Linked DNA regions of Caenorhabditis elegans. The protein of the gene in region 2 interacts with the protein of the main gene of each other region in a pairwise test. Each region holds a gene or a part of one and is shown on either strand. Other genes may lie near its edges.

Region 1 (3,927 bases), 1.0 Mb from region 2:
AGTAAAAATGAAAACAAAAAAAAATCATTATCACACTTAAAATTAGCCAAGCAAAAATAAGAAGCAAAAAATTTAAAATAATAATAATTTATTATGTTACAAAGAAAATTACACATGTTTACCATCGCATAAGTTAATAGAGAAGAAGCCATTCAGAGTTCATTCACACAGAAAAAATCGATAATGTTTTTGGGGAATTTTAAGATATCAAAACTTACTGGCGATAGCGCTTTTAAGGGGGATAATTAATATTTCTTCATGACAAAACCATTACGGGGGCGGAGGATGCTTTAAATAAATTATGCGTTGAGATTGGAGTATCACAACCTTTTTTTGACATTTTGCTCAGGAATACAAAGAGATTAGCACCAGCACGATCCCTCGTCGGTGACAATTTGACGCTGACGGATTGGGTCCATCGTGACCACATTTGCTGAAAAAAATCATGGCTTTTTGAAGTTAAAAAGGTTTTTAAAACTTACGTGGCTCCACTGGGTCGTCCTTGATGATTCCTGGTAGGGCTCCGGCGATACGACGGAAAAGCTGCTTCACATTGTAGCCGGCCTTGGCAGAAGTCTCGATGAACATCACATTAAGCTCCTTGGCCTTTCTCTCTCCTTCGTCGGTGGTGACTTGCCTGAACAAAATATGTAAGTCTTATGTCAGTTACAAATTAATAGACCTGGAGCATTACACATTGAGTTTATTAGTTAGGTTAACAGGTTTCAGAAAAAGATAGTTCAGCTAAGACCACGCAAGATCAGCTCGAAACAGGCCAGCGCAAGGTAAGTTTAGCTTGAACTAATTCTGTTTAGAATGCGCATTTTTAGCCTAATGTAACGTAGATTTTGCTCAGGAAAAATCAAATTATGGGAGATTCAGCTTATGTAGCTTATGTAGTAGGTTCAACTGAATTGTGTTTAAGGATGAGCTGGAGATAGAGAGCTTGGGCTTGAAAAGCGTAGGCTCTGATTATAAAAAATAAACTTGAGGTAGGTCCAGTTGAAGCTAGTTCAAGTTAGTGCAGATCCAATTTATGTTAACGTAATTTCAGTTAAAGCTATTTCCTATCTCCAAACAATATCTTTAGAGAAGGTTTTAAGCTAGCCAAGATTTCATACTGAAAGTTATGCCGATTAAAACTTCAGCCTGGAGCTACTTAAATGCATATTCCGCCGTTTCCACTACACAATTTAATTGAATTTTTAGCGGAAACTCTCATTCGAACCTCTTATCGGAAAGATCGGTCTTGTTGCCGACCAACATGATGATTACATCACTTCCACGCTCAGTACGGACGTCGTCAATCCACTTGGAAGTTTGATGGAAAGAGTTGGAGTCTGCAAAAAAGTTGGGGTTAAATGAAGCTTTTTTGTCGTTACCGAGAGTTTTTTCATTGCCCACCCTAGTTCAAAATCAAGATTAAACAAAAAATAATGGTTTCCTTTTGGATTCTAACTTTTCTATCAATATAAATTGTTTTTTGAGCTTCTCTTCTTGCTAGAAGCTTTTCGCATTAGAGCTGCCAGTGACTATTGTAGTATTAAACCAATATAGTTATTATAGTTACTACTATATACACTACTATAGTTAAAAAATTTCTCCCAGAGGATCCAGTGTGAAGCTTTACAGCATGAAACATCAGAAAAACTTCTTCCAAACTTACTGGTGATGTCATAAACCACAACAGCAACTGTAGAATCACGGATGTAGGATGGGATGAGTGAGCGGAAACGTTCCTGTCCAGCGGTGTCCCAAAGTTGAAGACGAACCTGAAATTACGGATTTTGAAATCATTTCTTTACGCAAAAACTGATTTCTTACGGTTCGGTCCTCCAAGTACATGGTCTTACTCAGGAAGTCGATTCCGATGGTGGCCTGGTAGGTGTTGTCGAAGGAGTCGTACATGAAGCGAGTGATTAGGGAGGTTTTTCCGACTGAAATTTAGAAACTTGAGAATTCAATATCTACGGTAGAATTTCAATCAAAATACTCACCACTTTGTTCCCCGAGGAACACAAGCTTGAATTTCTTCAACGGATTACCAAAGTCCGACATTTTTCTGTAATTTTTCTAAAATTAAATCAAGTTTTATTTTAAAAAAATTATAAATGAAACTTCTCGCAAGAGGAACACGAACACGAGACAAAATAACGGAAGAGATGTGGTCACTGCCACGCAGGGACAAAAATCGATAGGAGAACGGGTGTAAGGCACGGAAAAGAGGAGAAATGCAACATTTGGGCCGCATCTGTGTCTCTTTTTCTCATCGATTGTCTCTCCTCGCTTTACGAACAACTGAGCAGTAGAAAACGAAAAAAAAAGGAGACGAAAATGAGAAATTTGAAGCGAAACGAGCTAAAACTGATGAATTTAAACCGTAAAAGGTTTATGAAAACGGAAATATGCTATGCAGTGAACACTTTCCCCCTCTCAGCCGGTCAACCACGTAGCGATATGCAGGGGCAGAGACTCAGGCGAAAGGGGTTTCCCGTCGAGACCCGACCCCTCGGCCGCTCGTAAATCCACACCTGCGCACTGCGCACTGACCATAACAACACGTTTAGATGAGGGAGTTTTGTTTGTTTTTTGAATAGAGGTCAACTTAACGTTTCGGAATTTTGATTTTTGTTCAATAACTTCAAACAAATCTGAAACTGCAGCTCAGAAGTTTAATTTCTATTAATTCTTAACAATTTGTTTGCCTGATCTGTTATTAAATACAAAAATTATTTTAAAAAATAATTTTAAAAAAAGAGGGTTTTAAAAGAAAAAAGTACACAGTTAAAAATCGAAATATTTAATACTAATACTGAATTTTTTTCCAAAACAAAGATTTATTTTTTTAACTTCAATTTTTGCAGACTTAAATAAAAAACGTAGTTTTATCAGTGTTTCAAATATGCAGCTGTCACAAAAGCAGCGCAAACGAGTCATTTTTTGAATTAACATGAAAAGTTGTACATTTGAAAATTTTAGTTCAGAATTCAGAATAATCCGAACTATAGAAACTAAAAGTCTCGGAACTTTTGGAATAATTTTCGGCAAACAATCGTAAAACAATATTCAAATGGATAGCTAATTTTAAAATGAACTCTTCACAGAAAATATGTGTTCTTAAAAAATTTGTTTCATAAATAATAATATTAAAACTCTAATTAGTAACTTCAATTCGCTATAGCTGTGCCATGAACTTTGGAAAATGTGCCTAATCCATTTTTAGCAATCTAAACAAGTCTAAAGGAAAATTATTTAAAGAAAACAGACGTAAAAATTAAAAAAAAACACTTCAAAACATTTATGACTTTTTTTTGGTTTACTTTCAAGCATTTTAATCACCGTTTTAAATAGCTAATTTCCACTGAAGGAGACCAAATGAGTCATAATTTGATATAAATGCGTAGGAGGCATTTTCGTGATTGGTTTTATTATGTTTTAACTTGAATTGCAAAAAAAATGAAAACGATACTTGAATCGTCATTAGATTCATGTCCAAACTCTGGGAAATGTCTAAACAAAATTCAAACAGTGAGATTCAGACTAGGGACGAGAGGCTCTTCCGTTCGGCAAATTTTTTTGTCTGCCTCCTTCCTAAAACCCCCATCTTGCCACACACACGCGTTTTCGGTGTTCAAAAAATGTTCAAAAAATGTCCGAAAAATGTGTAATACAACTTTGAACGTTTATATCTCGGCTCTCACGGAACCGATTTTTGAAATTCTTTTTTCTCTACATTCACAAAGTATAGCGACGTGTGTTCATCTAAAAGGGGGTTGATTTTGGAGCATCCTGTCGGCTCCACAAGCGGAAAACCACACCCTCTTGTTTTTGCGCACACCGAAGTACTGGCCGAAAACCACTTTAAATTGAAGGAAAATTCGAGTTTATGTTCAAAACGTTTGAGACTCGAAACTTAAGTTCTCCTTT
Region 2 (3,927 bases):
TCTACATATAACAGGCCAATATAATTTCAGATTGCCATTTGGTAGCAATTGAATCGATTCGATCTACATAAGCATTAAAATTTCAAACAAATCGAGAAAGAAACAAATATCTAACCTGGTGTGGCTCAGCATCTTGTTCAACTGCCACAAAATTTGTCCCATCGATCTGAAAACATACATAATTAATTTATTGTTGGAATTCCCGTTTTTTTCTTTAAAATTTGATAAAGTTTACTTTTGGAGCAATTTTAAAGCCCTCGGAAGTAGTGTGAGAATGCACTGTTAAAATTTCAAATTCGACTATTTCTAGTTTAATCTATCTAAAAGATTCGTTTTATTATGATTATTTCCAATTCATGAAAAAGTATAATTATTTTGAAAAATTGGCTCTGCTTCTATCTTGGTTTCTTTTTTACGCTTTTGGGTCACACTTTTCCACGAAAAAGGAATTTTTATATTTTTTGTATATTTTCAATGAAAAATTTAGGGGTCGCAAATCTGAACGTACAACGTCCGGACCGGACGTACGGTGTCCGGTTTTCAAAATTTTGAAAATATACCAATAAGAAGAGTTTCAAGTCTGCCGACAATTTCCGAGTTTAGCCACTCACTATACTCATAAGCTCTATTCAATTTTATAATGAGTAACCAAACTCGCAAAATGTCGGGCGACGTGAAAACCTACACATCGGAAAAATTTAAAATTTGTAAAAACCGACGACGTCGGATTTTCCAGCTCCAGAGAAAATTGACAAAATAATTCCGAAAATGAGAAAAATTCATTTCAAAAAAAAAAAAGCAAAAAAACCTGTGTTTTCAGTGGGCCGGATTTGTGATCGCGAAGTTTCTCATACAACATTTTCAGCTGATCATTTTCCATCAGTCGCTTTGTATCGGGCGAAGAAACTATTGTTGGGAAATACGCAATGTACTTTTCGTTTGATGTCTGAAAATTTTTAATTTGTTTTGAAAGATAGTGGGTCAATTTTGATTACTGAACCCGACCAGTTCTTGATAATTAAAGATGGAGTAGCGCCATTGGAAAAATTGCTTTAAAAGATGCTTATGGTACCACAAAGACCATGACCAAAAATCATAGTAAAAAAATTTTTAAAAATTTTCTAAATTTTATATGATTGTTTGAAAAATGAACAAATCTCGAATTGCATCAAATTCCCATTTGATTTACCTCCAATAGTTCGATGTTCGATGGAGCGCGCTTGCCTTTTTTAATTTTTATTCATCAATTTCTCTCATTTTTGACTTATTTTTCATGTTTTTTTGTGTGATTTTACTAGAAATTCAATGAAAAATTCAAGATAAATGTAGATTGTCCACTGAAAATAACTGAAAACAAAGAAAGAACGTTTTTCAACGACGTTTAGCCTGAACAAATCTATTTCACAGGTTTAGGCTTTAGCGCCCGCTTTTTAATGAAAAAAATTACAATTATCTTGAATTTTTCAATTTATTTCCAGTAAAATTTCTAGAAAAAACATGAAAAATCAGTCAAAAATGAGAGAAATTGATGAATAAAAAATTTAATAAAATGGCAAGCGCGCTCTATCGAGCATCGAACTATTGGCGGTAATTCAAATGGGGATTTGATGCAATTTGGGTTTTTTTTGTTGATTTTCGAAAAATAATATAAAATTTAGAAAAAATATTTCAAATTTTTAACTGTGATATTTGGTCATTGTGGTACCATAGGCATGTTTTGAAGCAATTTCCCCACTGGCGCTAATCCTCTTTAAAAAAATTACCTCTTGGTCAATTTCCCAAATCATGTTTTTAGGAAAATGTGCTATGACAAAAGGGCCATCACTGGGAGAAGTTAGACCTTTGTTGACTTTTTTGAATTCAAATGCGTTTGGCTTGTCCTCGGCCGTTTTTCTTTTGCAAATGATTCGTACCATTTTTTGCTGAATTAAAAATATTACGTATTTATGTATATAACGTACTTTTCATTTAGTATTGTATCCCATAATAAATTATATACATATATATATATATATATATATATATATATATATATATAAAGTGCTGGCCAAAAAGATATCCACTTTCTGTTTTTTGATGATTTCGATATTTTTTCCATTGAGCATAACTCCAAAACTAGGAAAGCTATCAAAAAAGTTTCAACTGGTAAAATGTAGCTCGTGATCAGGCCTATGTATTTTTACATGATTAAATTATTCACCCAAAACATGGCAAGTGATAAAGCGGCCGACATCTCGTGAGTCCGCTTTTGATGATGATTACTAAAACGACTGTAACTCGAGAAACATATTTTTAATGGAAGGTTTTTAGAAAGTAACACGATGTTTATATAATTTTTTATTGTTTGAACATACTAACTTCGTCCTGAAACCTCCATTGAAAAAGACAAGAGAGTTTAAAGAAGAGAAGTGTAGAGTAATATCGAGCTCATTTCTCAAAAATAGTAGATTTTTTTTTCTGAATTCTGTTTATTGGTTAATATGTAGTTCAAATATAATAACAACATCAGTTCTTCACAAAAATTGTCGGAAAAAGATTTTCAATCCAAGAAACCTGATTTTTGAACAAAGCCTCTAAACAGTGTCTAATGAGACACTAGTTTCAGCGCACACATTTTTTTAAATGGAGGTTTTAGGACAAAGTTGATATGTTCAAACAATGAAAAATTAAATAAACATTTTGTTACTTTCTCAAACCTTTCATTAAAAATATGTTTCTTGAGTTACAGTCGTTTTAGTAATCATCGTCAAAAACGGACTCACGAGATGCCCGCCGCTTTATTACTTGCCATGTGATGGATGAATAATTGCAACATGTAAAAATACATAGGCCTGATCACGAGCTACATTTTACCAGTTGAAAATTTTTTGATACCTTTCCTAGTTTTGAAGTTATGCCCATTGGAAAAAATATCGAAATTGTCAAAAAACTGAAAGTGGATATCTTTTTGGCCAGCACTGTATATATACGCAATTAGTCGTCAAACGAGGTTGCATTTAACAACGTAGCACGTAGGGTCAGAGTGTCCCATTTTGGTTTGAACTACGTAAATCTACGAGAATTGGAAGGCAGAATTTATAAGCAGACTTCTCCACTGATTTCGCATGGTTAAGAACGTACCGACGTCACATTTTTTTGGAGAAAAATTCCCGCAATTTTTGTAGATAAAACCGTAATGGGACAGCATGACACAATGTGGCTTAAATTAACTGAGCTTTTCACTGAATTAATAAAGGAGGAAAACATTCAAAAAATTAAACATATCCCGCGAAGTCACTGGGAAACTTTTTATGAAAAGATGAAATAACGCGTGAAGCCCTATTAGCTGACACACTCACTGATATGCAGCAGCTATTGAATTTTTTTTCATTACGCTGCTTCTCAAAAAAGATAGTGTTCAGTGAGAGGCACAGACGCTCGCTCAGACTTCAGAAACATGTGACATGTGAGAGACGCAGACATGTGCTTTAGCGGTGCAAAAAAAGAGCAACGGGAATAGTGACGTATGAAGCTCAGACCAATTTCCCACAAAAACTACTTGCAGTAGATTTTGTGAAGCAATAACATAACTGAAGGTATTGATAAGGAACCGGTTGATGTATACAAGTCGTTCATCAAGCGCTCTGACCCAAAAAGATTGAACAAAACGGGTAGTGACTTTCTTTTATGCAAAGTCAATTTTCCGAACTGTATTTTAAAAAATATGAAAAAATATGCCATCCAAAATTTAAAAATCATTGAACAAAACAATGCAAATTGCATTATACGTCAATCACAAAACTATACATGGCCAGGCTGTTGCATTATTGTGCAATGCCATTGTGTAAGATTCTCCAACATCTAAAACGTATAGCTTTTACACGTATTGCACTTTTTCTACACACGGCATAGTGACTTCCATGTCCGCCGAAAATGGTCCATCACCGT

What was found.
Region 1: the proteins of F23A7.3 (region 2) and rab-6.2 interact in a two-hybrid assay, tested with the Caenorhabditis elegans proteins (one large-scale study listed by BioGRID).

The regions. Positions count from the first base shown.
Region 1 is NC_003284.9:17,220,610-17,224,536, reverse strand, and holds rab-6.2 (Ras-related protein rab-6.2), read right to left. Parts: upstream 2,063-3,927; 5' UTR 2,059-2,062; coding exon 1,998-2,058; intron 1,938-1,997; coding exon 1,825-1,937; intron 1,773-1,824; coding exon 1,667-1,772; intron 1,341-1,666; coding exon 1,229-1,340; intron 638-1,228; coding exon 483-637; intron 434-482; coding exon 363-433; 3' UTR 72-362; downstream 1-71. UniProt on the Caenorhabditis elegans protein: The small GTPases Rab are key regulators of intracellular membrane trafficking, from the formation of transport vesicles to their fusion with membranes.
Region 2 is NC_003284.9:16,218,005-16,221,931, reverse strand, and holds the start of F23A7.3 (Crinkler (CRN) family protein), read right to left. Parts: upstream 1,923-3,927; 5' UTR 1,917-1,922; coding exon 1,764-1,916; intron 947-1,763; coding exon 809-946; intron 167-808; coding exon 116-166; intron 64-115; coding exon 1-63.